Alligator mississippiensis: one gene and its partner. Each later gene encodes a partner of the first gene's protein in a complex. Links are inferred from orthologs where the notes say so. Each region holds a gene or a part of one and is shown in the gene's direction. Other genes may lie near its edges.

Region 1 (10,882 bases):
CATCTGCAGAGGCAGGTGGGTAAACAACTGCAGTTGGAGTCTGGGATCTTCCTGGTCTGACCCCATGAGGTCCCCCTAGAAAGAGATGCACCAGGAATGTGGGACCCCTCTGTTTCCAGAAGAAGCATGTGAAGTCAGACTGGAAAGGACTGTGGTAAGTGTGTGCATTCTGGCCCATTTGGAAAGGCCATGCTGAGCTGTGGAACAGCCCTTTAATCATCTGGCCTGCACCAGTCCCCAGTCTACACCGCTCAGACAGGAGAGCCAGGCTGGTCTAAAGCAGCTCTTTGCACTACTTGGCTGGAGGAGCTGGGTGTGAGGACACCCAGGGCAGGCAAGACCCCCCCGCCTCTCCCCCCCCCCCACAAGCCCCAAGGGCCCACAGGAGTTTTTCCAAGGGTGTAAAGCTCATTAGTCATGCCTCCATTCCTGTCTGCAGGAAACCCTAATACAAGAAGTACACTGCAGCACCTGGCTGTGAAGTACTATGAAGGCCTACCTGCGTGCAGCACTGGTTCTCAATCAAGGGTGCTGCCAAATTTTAAAAAGTTGTTGAGGGACATCCCAACTCTTAAAGAGTTGAGAAACACTGCTCTAACTATTCAGATGTAGATAATCCCCGAGCAGTCTCGCTTTTTGTAGTTATATGCTTTTATGGTAGTTGCTTTGAAGCCTGAGACAGTGACTTATACATCCTAACTGGACTATTCCTTTAACAGAGTCCAAACAGGTCTGTCCATTTTTCTATCTATCTCAAAACTACAGTGAAGCATATAAAGACACTTGTATCACAGGTACCAGACTGGAAGACTAAAATTAAGCAGTTGCTCTCCACCAGTTCAGAATATTAGTGAGCACCCCACAATACTAGGCTTGGGGAAAAAAAACACACCAGATACCAACTATTCAGAAGATCACATCTATTAGCAAGACATATCCAAAAAAAAAAAAAATTAAAATCAAAGGATCTGCTATGAGGGTCTAGATGCAACATCCCTGATGGACAACTCTGCTGTCTGCCCTGCTCTGCAACTAAGATAGGCAGGGTGATGGGATTCCTACCAAAGAACACAGGGCTTCATCTCCTGTAGGTATCTAGAAATAAATCAGCAGCATCAAACTTTCCTTTTTTGTTTCTTCTACTGGTTGCTGCAAGGATGAATTGTCTCTAGTGCCCTACCCTTACTTCTGCCGTCTGTGCCCTGCTATCACATGAACATTTTCACTACCTGCTGCTGCTCACAACTTTTTCAAACATCCACCAGAATCTAAAAGGATTCTGGAGTTTCACTGTTGCTAAAAGGACTGTGAAAAGCATCAGTAAAACATTACAGACTCTTCAAAGTATCACAAAAAATGCTTTTGCTAAGTTTAAGCTATCAGAGACCACCTAATCACATGGGGACTGCTACTGTCTTGGGACAACATCACTAAACATGGTTTTTATTGGTCTTAAACAAGAAGATAATCTTCACAGCCCCAGAGGTTAGAACTTCATTTTTCAAATAAGAGTTTAAATTCTGCAGATGACTTAGACCTCCTCAACTCACCAGGAAAGCTTTCACTGGCAAGTGGATTTATCAGGTCTCTCTGTGCAGGCCCCTAACATCAGAAAGGCATCTCCTTAGCAGGCACAGATCCCTAGTCTTTGTTAGAACTATGTCCCCCCCGCTTGCAACAAATTGGCTAAATGGCACCCTCACCTCACTCCCATGAGTGCTTTCTTATGTAGTACCTTGGACCAGCTATGCTCTCCTTTTAACCGTGTCAATATTCCTTTGTTACCCTACTTATCCTTCCTCATTTTCTTTTTTGAGAAACCTGTATTGTAAGGGTCCCCCCTCCTTGAGTTTCTAAAATGCTACATGCTGCTAAAGGCAGAGGCCAAGCATCCTCCAATGCCCTTTTTGGCCTAGGCTTTCCTAATCAAGTCACAGAAAAGGCAGGGCAGGGTACCACCATTAACACAGCTAATTACATCCCTTCATACCATCTCCAACTTGCTTCGGGAAGCTTAGCCTTTCTGCACTAGAGAGTCTACAAGGTGCTGCTCTGCCCTGACTTTGGGCTACTACAGCTGACTCCCTCTCTAGTTAAGCCATGTATCATAGAAACCAAATTTCCCCTCTCCGCTACCTAAGTCCAGTGGGCGGGAGCTGCTGTGGCTCAGCTGCCCTAGAGCTCTCCATGGGACAGAATGCAACCACTTACTGCTTCACCCGCCACAGAGGAAGCATGGGGTACAAGATCACTCCTCCCCCCCCCGGCCTATGCCAGCCCCTACGCATCCCAGCCTAGGGTTAGCCCGACTCCCTGTGCTCTTGGGCAGCAAGACATGGTTTTTAAGTTTTTAAGGCAGTTCGCCATGGAGAAAGGCCCAACCTGCTACAGGCCCAAGTTTACTCGTGATGCTGAGAGACACGAGACCCGCAGTGCTTCTCACCCCTTGCTAGAAGGTCTACGTGACAGGAGGCAACTCTGGCTCAAGTGACACTGAGGCAGAAGCCGGGAAGCCTCCCTCCCCGCCCCCCCCCCCGCGGCACTGACAGCTTCTCCCCCCAGGCCGGCGCAGGCACAGGCCGCCCCCAGAGGCTTCACAGCCGCCCAAGCCACGCTGGTACGGGGCAGCCCGGCCCGGCGCCACGGGGAACGGGCCAAAGCAAGTCCCTGCCAGGGCGTAAAGCGGCACCCCTCTCTGAGGCGGCCGGGGCCGCGCACGAGGGAGCCGCTTCCCCGCAGCGGGAACGGGAAGGGGGGAGGGGGGCAGCAGGAGCATCCGCCGCCGCCGCAGCCTCCCGGGCCCGAGCCGGGGCAGGGCCCCGCGCTCCGCTCCGCGCCCTAGGCCCAGCGGGCCGGGGCCGCCCAGCAGCCGAGGCCCGCGCCGGGCCTGCCGGCCGCTCGCCCGCACCTGGTCGAGGTTCTCCTCGCTGCCGCTGTCCTCGGTGTCGGAGTCGATGAGGACGCGGCCTTTCCGCTTCTTCACCATGGCGGAGGCGGCAGCGCCGCAAGCCCGGCAGGCGGGCGGACGCTGCGGCCCTGCGAGCGCCGCCGAACCGAGCCGAGCCGCGCCGCACCGCGCCGAGCCGAGCCCGGCCGCCCCAGCGCCCGGACACAAAGGGCACGGAGCATGCGCCCCGCGCCGCCCCGCCCCGGGGAGGGGCCAGGCCGCCGCCGCCGCCGCCGCTGGGCGGGGCCCAGCCGACAGCACGTGGCCCCGCGCTCGCCGCCCGGCCCCGCCGCCGCTCACCATGCGCCGCACGTGCCCGTCCGGCCTGGAACCCGCGCGCCGCCGAGTTCCCCGCAACAGAGCCCCTCTGTTCCCCAACAAAGGCCGCGGGGGGCCGGCCGCAGCCGCTCCCCTGCCTCGCTGCTCTGCGGATCCGCCACCCGCGCTTCGCCCAGCGGCCGCTCGCCTGCTTCTCGGGCCACGGGGAGCTTCCACGTAGAAGACGCTGATGGCGAGAGTCAGGAGGGGTCACTTACTCCGCGCCCCAGTCTCTGGCCAGCAAAAGCTGGGGGGACACTAACCCCTCTGCTCCTTTCAGGCCTCTTCCCACAAGGCCCCTGCTACATGTTACGTATATCACACAATTCCCCGCTAAATCGCACTAGAAGTGTAAACCGGCCACAAGTGCAAAGTAACTGTCCCATGAGGAACTAGTAAACCACGCAATACATCTATTAGACCCGACCTCCCACCCCCCAGCAAAGTCATTATCACACATAAAAATGACTCTCCAGCTATAAAATGCCAAATGCAAATGCAAAATACCAAATAAAGTTAGTGCTTGAAAATATGTGGCAGCTCTATAGCTGGTTTCTTGCCAGTTTTAATTTGAAGGCATGGCAGAGCTCCAAGGTGACAGATGAATGACAGCCCTGGAGGTTGGAGGAGCAGGAATTTCCTCTTGAGGGCCCTGCCACCTGTTTGGATTCCAGCTAAATGGAAACCAGCCATGGAGTTACACAATTTCAAGCACTAACTTTATAGCAGATTGACTCTCTTTATAGCTGGATGGTCAAGTGTGATGATTACTCTGCACAGGTGGCTGCTCTAAATGTATTGCATGGTTGAGCAGTCAGACATGTGATAATTACTTTGCACGTATGGTCAGTTGAAATGCGTTGCTGGATTCACCAATTAACTGAAATATATAAGATGTAGCAGGGGCCAAACAACCTGTTCTTTGCAGAAGAGGATTAATGCTGGAAGTTCTGACAGCTTAAGTGGCATTACTGTAAACCACTGACTATTTCCAACAGAAATCTATGGATTCCCTCCTCTCCCTCCCCTCTAACTCCTGGTTCTGTCCCTGCTCCTGCAATGTGCTCTGCTCAGGGTGACCTCTGCACCCAGGCAGAATATCTTTAAAGCCCAATGCGCTCTGGACAGGCATAAATATCCAGCTCTGCCAATCTCTTAGCAGGTAAGTCTCAGAGAGACTATTGGCAAGAGAAGCTATATGCTGTTCCTAGGTTTGGGTAAGAATTGATGGTTATTTTATTAATAATCATGTATTCAAACAATACAATCTTATATTATTGTTCAGATTACAAATGTTCACCTCAGCCATTACAATTAATAACATTACATTTAAAATTAATGTAATTTATTAATGTAAAGACAGGTTTTGAAAGTCATGAAATACTAAGTAGCAAAGATCCAGGTACATCAAACGGCATTTGCTCTGGACCACTCACCCACCCCCAAGTTTTTTCACTTTCCTATGTGCTCTCCATGTAGTGTACTTCTCTGATAGCCATGATGCTCCTACAATTAGTTAACACCTTCTAGACCTGGGAGGCTGAGCCATAAACCCTACTGTTTCTCCTGTAAATGTCATAAACACTATATAATATGTCAGTGCTATGTATTTCCAAAGAAGCTTGTAGGATGTGGTTTTAAACATGTTAATGTAAGTAAACTATGGTTTAAATACAGATTACATGTAGCTGAACTGTGAACTGGCCAGGTATATGGAGTCTTATCTAAGTGAAAATAAACCACTAAATTGCTAATCACGGTACGTCTAAAATGTTGGCAGCTATAGGACAAGACTTGCCTGAGTTTTCAGGTTGCAAACATCAGTAGACTCAGTCAAGATCCATACCCGTTGGGCATTCACAGAGAAACAATATGCATCATAGTGGTGGATGGGAGAACCTATTTTTAAAAAGTTACCCAAACTAATGATGATTTTTCAAGATAGGATAATATCTTTTTGTTTGTTTTTCTTTTTTTTTCTTACTATTTTGAATTATCAGGATGTTAAGGATTTCCTGAACTCCGCAGGCTATTGGAATATGTGGGGAGATGGGAGGAAAGTAATTCTGAAAATCTTTGTACATTTATACTGGGTGATGAAAATTGGGAATAGAGGCCAAGAAAGGAGTCATTGTCATCAAACAGTTTGTGATGTGTATGTTATGAAAATACGGCATTTATTTATTAGAGGTATATGTTGCCCTTCCCAACAGACCCTCAAGGTGACTTACAGTAAATGAGCAAAATAACTTATAAAACAAGAGAACAAGCAAGAGCACAAAACAACTTATGAAATCTATATTGAAGCAACATATAAAGCAACGCCCCCCCAAACAATATCCCAGCTTAACTTTGCTTGCTAAACGCCTGCCCAAATAGAAAGGTTTTACAGCACTTCCACATGTATGCATGCCATGCAACTTGTTTAAAGGGTCAGGCTTTTTTGTATTTAAGTAATATGGGCTGCTGGAAGTTTCTTCAAGGGCTACTGGGTTTTCGGTTTTTTGTTTTTTTTTTTGGTTTTTTTTTTTACTTTGCAGTAGTTCGGGGGAAGTGCACTTGGCTGATGCTGGAATCGCTCCCAGGAAGCAAAACAATATTTTTTTTAAAGAAAATAGGACTGGAGAGGACCACTTAGGTCACCAGGTCTGGTCTCCTGCCATGACAGGTGTCGCATCAGATGCACTTTTTATACTCCGATCAAATTCTGTCTCAGTATTTCACATTTTTTACCCACACAGCTCTGACTGAAAGGCTGGTGTAGAACTTCACAGCCCTGAACACCAATACCAACCCCCCTACACACACACACACAACAGCCACCACCGAAAACCCCCCTAAGCCCTCCTCCCCAAAACCCTTTGATCTCAATTTAAAAAAATGCACCGACCAGTAAAATAATGTTTTATACTCACAGAGCCTTTCAGCTGGAGCCCTCGGGGCAAGTCTCAGGACAGACAGGCAGGCAGGCAGCACGTAATCCTCACACTCGCACCCAAGTATCACTTTTACAGCAGAGGAGGGAACAGGACGCAAATGCCGGGTGCTTAGGGCCAGGCTGAGTCGTGGTATGACTGGGACTGGAAGGCAGGAGGAATCCCGGAGCCCTGGCCTTGGCTCTACCCACTAGCTGGTGCTGCCTCCCCGAGGGGAGCACGGGCTGTGCTGCAGGGACGAGCCGGCAGCGGCCTGGCGGGCTGAGCTGAGTTTGTGCCTGGCGGCGGGGCCGGCCCGGGAGAGCGCCGTGGCTTTGAGCATCGCGGACCCCAGAACCCCGCGGCTTCCTCCGGCAGGGCGCGGAACCTTTGCTCTCGGCCACGGTTGCGCGGCGGGCTCTGATCGCGGCCGGACTCGCTACGTCCGCCGGCAGGTGAGGACGAGGACGCGGACGAGCGCGCGGGGGGCGGCGAGGGCAGGGTGGTGTCCCTGGGGCGCTCAGAGCCGCTGTGGGGCCGGGGGTGGCGCTGGCGGGCTCCACGGGGCGTCGCAGGGGAAGCAGCTCGGGCTGAGCCGCGCTGCAGCTGCCCCTCCGGAGAGCGCGTCTGGGGTGGTGACGTCATCCCCGCGTCATGTTGCGTCATAATGGTCCGAGCATGGCGCAGTGTGGATGGTGCAGGCGGCCCTGGCAGCGTGTCCGGCCTCAGCCGCGGCCCGCCTGCGTGGCTGGTCCAATAAAAGACCCCCATCCCCAGGCCAGGCAGCACTTCCACGGTTATGCCATGCAGCTTGTTTAAAGGGTCAGACTTTCTTGCATCAATGTCGTATGGGCTGCTGGGAGTATTCTCTAGGGATATTGGGGGAGTTCTTTTTATTTTACTAAATATTAGTGGGGCGGGGAGACGGATGGGACGTATTTGGCTGATGCTAGAATAGCTCATAGAAAGCAAAACAATACATTTTTTAAGAAACCTGGGCTGGAGAGGGCCACTTGGGTCAAGTCTGGTCTTCTGCCATTGCAGGCATCACATGGAGCAATTCGCAGCCCAGTGGAGCAATTCACCTGTGTCGCCTTGTGTCGTGGCGCAGCTCGGTGCGTCCCCTTCACTGGGCGCAACACACCTCCTCCCTTGTCCCACATCTCCTCACTTGCCTCACTGCTCCAGACCCATGTGGGGGTGGGGGGGCTGGCTGAGTGGGGAAGCACTTTTCTCCCTGCCCCAGACCCAAATAGGGCAGGGGGGGCTTGTCTCTGCTGTGCCAACCCATCCCCCTTGTCATAGGCTGGTTGAGCAGGGGAAGCACTGCAAGGTAATAGAGGTCTGCCTCAGTAGTGTAAGTCTGTTGATACTTTTTGTTGCACCACTGATTTTCCTGTTGTGTGGTGCAACAAAGAGTAAGAAACTTTATTTGCTCAGCTTTTGTGCTGCCTTAAAAAAATTAAGGCAGCACAAATGAGGAGTCAGTCAGTGTCGGTTTCTTCCCTTGCCTCCATCCTATGTAATATATCATATTTTATATAAAACACATGAACAATTTATATACTGTACAGCATACATATAGATATTTTAGTACATACATATCTCTTTAGTACAACTTTTTATTTTAGTATATCTTTATATATAAATGCATTGGATAGTATATGTTTGTAACATATTTAAATATCCTTATTGGATATGCATAAAAATATGATACAACCCACTTTATATATATTACATTATAATAGTATGTGTGTATGTGTATGTGTGTGTGTGTGTGTGTGTGTGTGTATATATATATATATATATATATATCAAGATTTCAGTGTGCGTGTATAACAGCTATGTCTTATACATACAGATGTGATACAAAGTGATAGGACTGTTTGCAAAATTATGGCCATGCAGTGTTCCACAAGGGCATTATCAACTTTCAAATTTTCTTTGCAAATTTCTGGTAATGCTGCAAGTGACATCTACTTTTACTGTGATTAAAAGAATGGAGAATGTTTTTTTATTTTCTTTTCAGTTTTACTTCAAGCATTTTGTCTTGTGATTCATGTTGGGAATCTTATGCAGCAATGGCAGGAGAAAAGCTTAAAAAATTGGAAAATGCTATTGTAAAATGACAAAAATCAAGAAGACACAGCAGTCATAGAATCTGATATTGCTTTTAACTGTTTTTTAAATTGGTTAATTTCAAGCCAGTGTCCTTTTACAAGTAAAACCTTTACAAGTATGCTTGTAATCTCTTTCTCTCGTTCCTCTTGTTACAGGTGGAGGAAACAAGCTACCTTAACAACATTTGGTACATCTAGTAATCTTTTTTGAAGACTTTATTTCAGACCTGGTAGTGCCCTTTCTCAAAGTGAAATTTGATCATCCTTCAATTCTACCTTTATGGCTGTAGCTTTTAAACTACTGGCTAGTGCTCGTCCTCTTAGGGAGTGCCAGAGGCACAAAGTCTTGCATTCTTTGCTTGGCCCTCTCGTCACTAATCACATCTCCAAAATGTATAGTAGCTATAGGAGACCAGGAATAAGCCCTGATGACACTCCAGTCTGGAAAAAAATTGATTTCAGTACTGAAAAAGCAGTGAATGGGGTTAAAAAACATTTTAAATTACTAAAGTCTGAGATAGCAGAGCATGTAACAAGTTATGATGGCCAGCCTCTGCATGTTCACTTATGGGAAGAGACTAGAGTGGTCTGGAAATTCCACAGCCAGAAAGATTTAGATAAATGGATAGCTAGCTCCGATACAGAGATTGGAGGGAAAAGTGAAGCCTACCTAAAACTAGGCAAGAATAACCAAAGTGCTCTGTTCTATGGGACCCTCAATACTGAAGTACCTCGTGATGGGGAAACAAAATACAGTGGATATTGTGGATTTAAAGCCAAGCCACGACTGGTGAGTAAAACTTAATTATTTAAGTTAACATTCAGTATTTTATCAGGGACCTCTTATTCTGCTGACAGGATGGGCGATTAGGGGACTTCGGTACAGATATTTTTCTTCTGATTACCTCTTCAAGGTACATTTGTTTCTATTTATTAGAAACTCTCCTGACACAGGAAGGAGAGAAAAACATTTTGAGCTCACTCTGCACTCACAACTGGAGAAAAAAATCGTATTTGCCATGGAAAATTATGAATAACTGAAGTGTTTATTTAGTGCAGGGAGCTGAAGGGTGAACTCTGTTCTAGATGCTTCGTAGACTGTCCATCAAGTATATTGAATCAAGTACAAAATTCAAACTCTTGATTTCTAGTGCTGGTTGCTTGTTAGGTTTCTTAGTCTAAGCTGATAATACAATCTGTATTCAGAATGACTAAAACAAAGACAACCTTTGCTAGGCTTTTTAACAAACTTCTTGAGGCTTACTTTAATCTAGTTAACTCTGCTGTGTTATACCAGTGAGAATAAATTGGCTTTTATTTGTTGTAAGTAAATTGGGACAGTTGAAGAAGTATGAGACGTTCTGCTTCAATCCATTTGCTGATGTAATCATTGCCATACTCTGACTAGGCATAGTTGAAACTTTAGCTCAGGGCTAAATCTTTCTTAAGAAAGGAGCGTTTTTTTCCTTTAATCACCAAAAGTGGATTTCCCATTGCACACATGGTAACTGAGTAAAGGCAAGCTTAGTCTCCTATAGCAAAGTTTTATTGACAGAATTGGTGCATTTTAAATGACTGGTGCAGTGCTGACTACTTTATTTAACCTGTATATGTGCGTACCTACAAGTAGTCACAGTATCTAGGCCCAAACTTAACGTTTGTATCCAAACCCAATTTGAGGTTAGAATACGCTCTCTTTTGTTCCTGAAGTGAAAGAGGAAGAATCTGCTATGGAATATCCTTTTTAAAATTCTGTATGTGGATTCTTGCCTTTCAAAATATGCAAAAGACTAAATCAAGTTATAAATAGAACAGAACAAAAATATGATTTAGTTATAATAGTCTGTTTCCTTCATTTGATGAAAAACTATTGGTATTCATTTTTAGATGTTTCTTAAAAGTGGGGGGGATACCAAGATGAAAAAGCTTGGAGTCATTTTAGATGAGTGCCTTTATGCAATGGAATAAATAACAAGAGTTGTGACCTAATTAATGAGAACAGAAGTAAAAAATTGAGGACTAGGGCTCTGAAGGATAAAGAATGTGAACAGATTTAATCAGAGGCCATACTGATGGCACATAGGAAATTGGATAGATTAAACTAAGTGTACAGGTGAACATTCATTCGAAGGGAGATGGCTAAATCCAGAGAATTGGACCCAGATTACATTTCCAGGACTGCCACAGATTTGTGTAAATCTGGCCAAATTGTTTAATGCCTCTTACTACCTTCCCACCTTTACAAAGCAAGTTGAGGCCAACACAAAGCATAATAAATATGAAGGATAATTTTTAATTTAAAGGAAGGCATGTATCTCAGAATTAGCTACAACATTTTTTGTAGCAGGGGCAGGTTATTTTATACCTGTTCTTGTTGCTTTTCTTTTACCTTCTTCCAAAACTTCTGCTGTTGGCCATTCTTAGACGCAGGATACTGGTTTAAAGAAATACTGTCATGGCAGTATCTGTGTTAATGTGCTGGGAGTGGCGTTTCATTTTCTATAGTGAGATTTGTGATTACAAAATCTGAGTACAAGTCCTTGAAGATGTTACCCCATTTTTGAGATGTCTAACAGCACTGA
Region 2 (9,082 bases), on another chromosome or scaffold:
TTTTTTGGGACTCAAAACTGAAATACTGAGTGGCTAAGACCCACATTTTCTAAAGCAGACCCTAAGTTTGGGTGCTACAAACTTTGGCGCTCAAAGCAGTTTATTTTAAAGGCCCTTAATCTCTTTAGTCAGCCAGTAACTTCCGACAACTAGAGCTTCAGCACCATGCCATAGGTCAAAAAGGAGGTAAGTGGCACAGTGGAGAACAGAGCCTCCATCTAAAGCTTTTAAGCACAAAACCGTCTCTTAATGGTCCCCAAAGCTGCATTCTAAAGACAAATATTGAACAGTTCTGCCATTAACATTTAGTTTAAACAAGTTTCAAAGGTTAACTAGAAATGGAGCACTGCCACCTACTTTAATGAGTTTAAAAGTTATGACAGCAATGGACACTATAGAAGAACCTGAGTTTTACAGGAAGTGCTGGTGCAGGGTGGGAGGGAAGGAAGGAAAACAAACATCTCAATGAAACACTGGAAAAATATCCTCAAGGGTACTGTGAACAGAGTATCTGTTAGATTACCAGAGACAAAGCAGAATCAGGTGCTCTACCTTCCTGTTTCCTGGATTCAGAGAAAGAGAGTAAATGAGATTTTGAAAGTGTTTTTAAATGCAAGAAAGGGGTTTTACTGGAAACACCACATGACCCTGACTGTGCCTGTTAGAACAAGGAGGAGAAGCAGGTATTTATAAGGACAAGCAGGTATTTATAAAATTCACTTACTTTATCAAGTTCATAGAACTCAATTCGCTCTTCCTGGCTGCAGCTTCTCCCAATAGGGGATACGTTTAGCATCCCATTTCGGAACTCAATAAAAGTACCCCTGAATAAAACAGTAAACTGTCACTATTGACAGTACATATAAATCCACATACACCTGAAAGAAGCAGTCATGACTAGACTGTGTAAATTAAATCCTAAGAGTTATGCTTTATGAGCATACCAAAAATGGCACTGATGCAGTGAAATGCTAAGGTTTTTAAAAGGGCAGACACATGTGGGCACACCCATTCAACATATATGACCTTTACAATAAAGATAACTAAGGAAGTGAAATTTGCATTCCACAATGCAGAGTACCACTGCCCAAGCAGAAATTTGCTCATGATGCCATAATTAGCATGATTAGGTATTCTACAAAAGTTTGATAAATATAGTTATTAGGGATCTCTGTAAATCACTGAGGAAGTACCCGCAATGGCTCTTGTAATAATTTTTTTGTTTCACTGCTTGTCCTCCCTCCCACCTGATTGGCAGAGGGGCCCTGCTGGCTGGACCATTTGCTACTGATCACCGGGGAAGTGGAAACAGTGGTTTAAATATGCCATGGTTTTTGCTTCTCCACTGGTCAGCAGCAGGGCTACAGGGGGCCCTTTGCCAATCCGTGGTGGGGAGGCAAAATCCGTGGCATATTTAAAACCATGATTTTCACTTCCCTGGCATTCAGTAGCAAATGGCCTGGCCAGAGGGGCCCCTCAGCCAATCGGGTGAGGGAAAGAGCATTGAAATGAAAAAAAAATGGAAGGAGCTGTGCGGGAGTGGTACTGACCTCACAATTTACAAAGATTCCCTAGTAATTACTCAAGACCTTAGTTTAACCTCTCCTGAAAGACCATGCGCAAGATGCTCAGTCCCACCCCATTCCACCAGTGTAGACCACCAGAAATCCAGCAGAAAACCTGCAAGGCATGCAGGCTGGCCAAGGTACAATTAATTGGTGGGCACCTGCAGGTCGGATGAAATTGCCTTGCGGGCCGGATCCCACCCGTGGGCTGCATCTTGCCCGCCCTTGTTCTAGTCTATAGAAGCCACGATGCCTCTGAATTTTGAAATGCTGTTTTTCTGGATTTTTTAATAGGGCAATTAATTCCCAACAACATAACATCTTTGGACAAAAATTTCTTCCTTGATCCATTTTCATCTGCTTAAATAAGGGAGTTTTATCTTTCCATTTAGGGGATTACTAGAAGACTTCTGTCACAGCTTTATGGTATGTTCTGAAACACAGAACTGAGCTGGCGTGCCTTCCTTATCACTGCCCAACACAGTAAGAAAGGGAACAGGCTGGCCCCAAGATGCACTGCATCTAAATACATACCTTTTCTTTGGTAGTTTAATCTTCGCAATGTAACTAAGACAATAGTTGATTAGTTCTTGGAGTATGTCCTCACCCATATGATTCTGAATGCTCTAAACAAAAAAAAATACCTGTTAGCTATAGCTCCAGAGTTCAGGTTTCCAAAAATAGACAAACACAGGTCTTAAATGTACACAAGATACTAAAAAAACATGCAGTTAAGCAGCTGATCTTAACCAGTAGGTGTATAGCACTGGCTGTAAACTTCCATTCACTCCAGTTGCTGCTGTGCAACCCAAGTCACTGTAACACACTCTTCTAGACACTTCATAAATACCATGGTTTAGAGAACAAAGGTTTAAAAGGTAACTGGCGCATAACCACCAATACAGCCAAATTAAATATGGGAAATAGAGAAGATTGTTTAAGTCTCAAAACCACTGCCTTAGGTTTCAGTTTGGGTAATGATCTATTTTTTTTCTTCTCTTCTTTACCTAGGTTGAGGCAATGAAAGTGATCAGATCAGATTTAATCAACTGTATTTTCTCATCCACTAATCCACTCTGTGCAGTTGCAATATACTCCATGCACTTCAAGAACAACAAGTAAAGGGAGTTCAGAAGCACATTTACAACTTCCCAATCCTAAAACCTCTTTCGCTTCCTCTGGCATATTGCAGAACAGCTTCAAGGTTATTCCACACGGCCGTACTATTGTGGAAATTCCACACATTGGGGATTCTTAAAGGGTTCTTGTCATGTTCTCTATGCTCTAGGGTAGGCAAGATGCCACTCAGGGATTTTTCTATCATGGGAACTCATTGACCAGACATGCCACATACCCGATTGCTTTATACTTCCAGAGTAGCACAAAGAAATCATAATGTGAGAATCTGACCCTCTGCCTTGTATCAAATCTACACATTTAAAAGATTGAGATGGATGGTCAATTATACACGTAAAAGAAGAATTTCAGACTAGCAAAAAGATGATAAATGAAAATTGCAACTGCAAAACAAGATATAAAAAAAAATGCAAAATCTTAAGAGTAGAATACTATTTGAAAATGTATCTAAAGACTACATTGTCTGACAGTTTATAGGAACTTCAAACATACCTGCTTGGACAACAGTTTCCCATCTTTGTATGCTACAAGACCATTTTCTGGGAAGACGTAGTCAAACTTTTCAACCACTGAAACAAACAAAAACTGTTGTAATTTATTTGTCTTCACTCAAACTTCCACGTTTTTGTTGTAAATACTTTTACATATCATACACCAGGGTATTTTTACAACATTAAGCATAAGTGATGCTAAAATAAGATCTATAGAACAAAAGATTAATTTCTACTATTGTATTTTTTAAACTTTACATATAATCTAGCAAATTGACACATTCATCAATAAAGTTATTTCAATAAAGTTATATTTGCTTTTGGTTTGATCTTAAACTGAATACCATAGTGCTAGGCCTCTAGCATATTAGTAAATCTTGTAGTTTAAATGAAGAAAAATGTGAAACGTTACATGCAGTGATGTGCTACATCATTTGCACCCACATTTTCAAAATCTCAGATTACAAATTCAAAATCCTTGATTACAACCATTCAGAATGAGAGTAAAGAAGTAATCAACTACTGTAGATAATATAAGAACTTGCTATAATGTAGGTTTAAATAGAAGCCACTTCTAAGCCAAGTAAATGCAGGGTTATAAAAAACAGTTGCTGCTTACACTGGGCCTATGGCTATTCATACAGTTCTTTCACATTAAAAATGAAAGTTTCCTACCAAGGGCTTGGAACAAGCTACCTTATGTGACCACTTGGCTAGTAAAATCATCTTTTCCATGGATAAACACATAGTTTAGCAACCTATATCAAAGGCAATATGCAAAACTGCATTAGAGAGAAACTAAAAATTAGTATTCTAACACAACGGCATAACAAGCCAAGTTGTCATACAAGGCAAACCCTGCAGGAATTGGGGAGAGGGGCAGGGAGACAGGCAAGGTAAGCATGGAGTTCTGGGGGTGGGGAGCACACAGATTAGCAAGTGGGGGCAAGGGGCATAGGTCCCAAGAGCCAGGGCAGGAGGTGCGCAGGTCCAAGAGCAGGGAGGCAAGGGAGCAGCAGCCTCACCAACACTGGAAATGTCTGAACAGTCCCAGCTGGGTTGCTGTTCTACACATGCTCTTCCTCCCCTGGCTCTCTTGCCCTTACAGCAACAGCAGTCAGGAACTGCCTCTGAGTTCCCAGTGTGGCAGTGCTGCCAGGCCATGGGCTCTGCAGGGATGCGAGGAGATTCTGGCACCCTAACTTGGCACGCAGGGCAAGCTAGTTATGCTACTGTTCTACATTACTAGTGTGAAGTCAGAACTTCACTGCATGTAGCAACCAAAGGGTATAAGACTGAATCTTCCTGTGTAAAGTACAAGTACTTGGGAGACTTTTAATTTAACCCACTGCGGGCAATACAGTTTTAAATCAAGCAATCATCACACACTGACTGTGAATAGTGAACACTTCATGAGATTTGCGTACTACAAGGAAGGAGGAAGAAAAAAGGTTTAATTTAAGGTGTCAGAACTTCCTCATACGCAACAAATTTATCAACCTGGACCATCTCATCTCTTCCTTACCATCGTCTCCCAGCTGCTCTTTAATTTTTTCAAAGTCTGAACCACCTACTACTCCAACTCTCACCTTCTGCCGCAACTTCTGCAGAAATTCTCCCATTTCTGCTGTGACTTTCTAGATTTCAAAAAAAGAAACAAAAGTTTATGATTAGTGGGTAGCCTACGCAGCTTTAGCATAATTGTATATCTGAACATAGCTATTGTGGTGCAGGAGGAGAAAGGTTGCTGTGAAGCAAAATATGTAGGGCTTTAGGGAGAAAAATGCCAAAAAAATGCTTTGAGTGAAAAATCAACAAGAAAGCTGGTGCAATATGTAGCTTACTTAACATAGCATGCTCCCTCTTATGAAGGCCTAAAAATTTAAACCTCTTGACCTTCTGAAATACCTTCAGGGGTAGCCCCCATACGCCCTGAGTTCACATCTGGAAGTCACAGAGGCAGAGAGAGGCATAGCAAGATCTGTATGAGGATAAACACACAATTTTTACTATGGAGAAAACTGACTTTACTCGGTAGCAAAGGATCCAGGACACACAAACTCACACTGGCTTAAGTTGAGCCTTGTATGAGGCACAGTGGTCATATCCACTTCCCTAACTCATTTCCTCTGCCATAGACAGCCATTTGCTTCATTCAAACCAGAATGGGGCACCACCTAGCAGCCAGGATCCATAACGTGCCTGTGGGCACCTAGCTTGGAAGGGTGTTCTTGTGCCTGCTCCCTTACCATGGAGTAGTTTATTACAGAAAAAGATCCAGGCCTAATTATTCATCCAGGTTTATTTATTTGCTGTGTTTCCACACTGTAACTCACTTCCAGTACTGGAAGAAAACAGCACCTGTGGAGATAACGGCTCTCTGAAACTCCAGCAGTAACTGGGAATTCAGAAGCACCCTTGAGCTGTAAGACTGAAGCGTGCCCAAAAAGGACAGTTTACTGTCACGGACCCGCACAGGATGATTTCCGTTTGCTGTCTTGATCTGGCTTCCTCGGCTCACCTGAACGCCAGCCAAGAAGGAAGCGCATCCAGACGGCACCAGCTTTATCTAGTTACCAAATGCACAGGTGGCGTCGCCCGCCTGCCCGCCGCCCCTTCACTATTTCTCCAAAGGAGCCACCAGCCTTAGCAGGAGGAGCGACACCCGAGGGAGTTTTGCTTTGGCGTCCCTCAGCGCGACGGAGCAGCGGCGGTTTCTTTTTAGAGCGACTGCAGAGCACGTTATGGAGCTGCCCCGGGGCCTGGCTCCCCCGCCGGAGCGGGCCCGCTCGCCGCTGAGGGCAGCGCTGCCCCGCGCACGCCGGCGGCCGAGCCCCAAGCAGCCCGACGCTCGTGTAGGCGGGCACGGCGCCCGGCACAGCCCGCCCTGCAGCGCCAGCGACAGGCACCCGGGAAACCGGCCGGACACCCGGCGAGGCCAGAGCGCTCGCGCTCGGGGCGAGGGCAGCCAGGCCGGGAGGGGAGAGGAAGAGCTCGGGGAGGAGAAGCGTCGCCTGCGGGGGCCCGGCCCGCCCCGCCGCGAAGGGCTGGGAAGAAGCCGCCCCGCACTCACCTGCCGGGGCGCCGTGAGGGTGCCGTCCACGTCGAAGAGGCAGAGGTTGCCCGGCGCCGCCATGGCTTGCGGTGAAGGAGCTGTCGTGGCCGGCGGCCGCTTCCGGCCCCGCCTCTTCCGCTCCCGGCTCCCGGCGGCGGCATGGCGGTGAGTGCGGGGCCGGGTGGGTAGGGCGGCGCGGCACTGAGGGGCTCATCTCGTCTGTCTGTCTCTCCCTCCCCAGGCCGTCGCCCTGCGCTGCGCCGTGGCCGTGGCCGGAGGGCGGGCGGGCTCGTGGCGGCTGCGCTGCGTGTGTAGCAGCGCCGCCCCCGGCAGCCCGCCGCCCGCGCCGCCCGCGGAGCGCTTCACGCTGGTCTACAGGTTCCCGGGGATCCGCTACTGCCGCGCGCTGTCCCGCCTGAAGCTGCTGCAGACCGGCCTGACCGTGCTGGCCCTGCCGCCGCTCGGCCTCCTGTACGCGCAGGGCCAGGCCTCGCTGCTGCAGCTGCAGGCGGCGGGGGGCATGGCCGCCCTGGCCTTCGTCGTGCTCTACGGCCTCAGCTACTACCTGCGGCGCCTCATCGGCCTCATTTACCTCAGCGAGACGGGCGGCGTGGTGCGGGTGGCGCACCTCACCTTCTGGGGCTGGAGGCACGACATCGACTGCCCCACCACCTCCGTCATGGCGCTGGGGGACACGGGGGACAGGCGCGGTGAGCTGCTGCTCCAGTTCAAGCGCTACGACAGCCCACAGGTGCTGTACTTCACGCTCAGGTTTGGGCAAGTTGTGGACAAGCAGAAGTTCAAAGAGATATTTGGGCAATTCCAGTGACCGCAAGGGCACCCGGTTTTCCAGCTGTCCCACCTGCATTGTACTTCTTTTTGGTCTGTCGCAGGTGTCCGGTTACATCAACTTGTTGAAATAGTTGCACCTCCTTCTTGTATTAAATACCCCTCCTGCCAAACGTGCTTCAATCTGTGTTTGTGTAGAGGGGGAGGCAGAAATTCAACAGCCCTGTGGAGGGAAGTAAAATCTTTCCCCTTCCCACCCGAAGCCTTTATGTAACACAAAAAAAGGAGTTTGGCAGTAAAGTGATCTCAGCTGGAGGCTCACGCAGGCTGCTGTTTTACTTCAGTGCTCAGTTGCAGGGACGCAGCTAGTGGCAGGGTTTCTTTTTTGGTTCTCAGAGCTCAGTGCCAACAGTTGCTGGACCCTTGGAGCCTGGTGCACAAGCCCTTCCCCTGATTAAACTGCAGCGTGTAGCATAATACAAATTAATATGACTTGTGAGGAGGTGGCAACTTGTAGTCTCTCTTGCGCTGTTAATTGAGTAATGCAATTTTTGCATTCACAGAAAAACATGATGGCTGGATTTAGTCCACTCATATAGGACTCCACAGGTGTAAATACAAGCAAACTGTGTGAGAGAAAGTTGCTTTAGGTAATGAAAACGGCAATTTGTTCCAGAGTGTTTTGAAAGATTTTGTGGGGCAAAGTGTGACAACATCCAGATATCAGGAAGTAGGAACAACATATGGGTAAGAGGATTTGGGCAAACTGAGTAGAAATGTATACAATTGGGTTGTTCCTTTATACTCCAGTTTTCCCTGCCACTGTGACTACTGGCTGTATAGCACAGTAGTCATCCTAACCTTCCCCAAAATATCTGCAGCCCTGAGCTAGAACCAGGCACATGGTTTGTCATTATGAAACGAGCCTAGCCCTCAATATAAGGCGGACTCTATACATTACACACCAACCAGGGACCTAGAGGGGAGAAAGCACTACAATATCCAGAAGGCTCAGGGCTCTGCTCTAGAGAGGTGTGTATTTGCTAACTCAAAATCAGTTATCTTAAAGCGATAGGACAGCAGGAAAGCCAAGATAGATTAGTCTATCAAGTGCTTGTACACAGCAAATTAAAATTCCAAGAAATAATTATCTTAAATCATAGGTGGAGTTGAATGCACTGTTATTTCTCTGAGGTACCTGAGGTTGGAAATGTGATAATCCATGAGAAACATGTTTGAAAAGTTGACATGTTCAAGTATCTGGAGTCAGTTGTTCAGAAAAAGGGGGAGTTAGAGAAAGAGTTCAACCATCGAATAACAGCAGGATGGATGAATTGGAAATGGATGACAGGAACATTATGTGACAGGAGAATATCTGTGAAGCTGAAGGGGAAAGCCTACAAGATGTGTACATCCAGCAGTATTGTAAGGAGCAGACACATGACTCCCAAAGAAAACTCAAGAAAGGAGACTGAACGTTACAAAGATTAGTGCTCCGATGGATGTGTGGAGTGACAAAGATGGATAAAGTAAGGAATACCTGCACCAGAAGATCAGTGAAGGTAGTGGAGGCATCTAAGGAAGTACAAGAAAGAAGACTGGCATGGTATGGACATTTTCAAAGGGAATTCGGAAGAATAAGAGGGGGAAAAGAAGTTACCAGAATGGGACTACAAGGGAGAAGAGGAAGACTGAAGATGATATGGAGAGAGAGAGTGGAGAGGACACGAGAAAAGAAGTTGGAAATGATGCATATGACCGAAGCCAGTGGAAAGCCAGGCTCCACAACAGCAACCTTGTTTAGACGGGACAAGCGAGGGGAGAAGAAGAATCATAATAATCCATGAGTGAAGTGGAAGGGGAAAGCCTGTAAGATGTGTACAAGTATTGTAAGGAGTGGAGACATGACTCCTAAAAAAAAACTCAAGAAAGGAGACTGAACATAACAAAGATGAGAATGCTCCAATGAATGCTCCCCTGCTAAACCAGATGGGACAATTGACAACAGACGCCCAGGAAAAAGCAAACTTACTAAATGGGTACTT

What was found. The genes of interacting proteins can lie anywhere in the genome.
Region 2: NDUFAF1 (region 1) and TMEM186 share a complex: the UniProt entries of both Homo sapiens proteins name them as parts of the mitochondrial complex. The link is inferred for Alligator mississippiensis from reciprocal best matches to the Homo sapiens genes NDUFAF1 and TMEM186.

Annotation. Positions count from the first base shown.
Region 1 is NC_081825.1:239,879,828-239,890,709, forward strand, and holds the start of NDUFAF1 (complex I intermediate-associated protein 30, mitochondrial), read left to right. Parts: upstream 1-6,550; 5' UTR 6,551-6,635; intron 6,636-6,795; exon of another isoform or gene 6,796-7,002; intron 7,003-8,456; 5' UTR 8,457-8,580; coding exon 8,581-9,090; intron 9,091-10,882. Other genes in the region: RNA polymerase-associated protein RTF1 homolog, read right to left, coding at 2,909-2,986. UniProt on the Homo sapiens protein: As part of the MCIA complex, involved in the assembly of the mitochondrial complex I.
Region 2 is NC_081836.1:35,935,838-35,944,919, reverse strand, and holds TMEM186 (transmembrane protein 186), read left to right. Parts: upstream 1-6,358; 5' UTR 6,359-6,407; coding exon 6,408-6,413; intron 6,414-6,489; coding exon 6,490-7,077; 3' UTR 7,078-7,358; downstream 7,359-9,082. Other genes in the region: PMM2 (phosphomannomutase 2), read right to left, coding at 725-824, 2,100-2,191, 3,195-3,271, 4,719-4,830, 6,267-6,329. UniProt on the Homo sapiens protein: As part of the MCIA complex, required for efficient assembly of the mitochondrial complex I.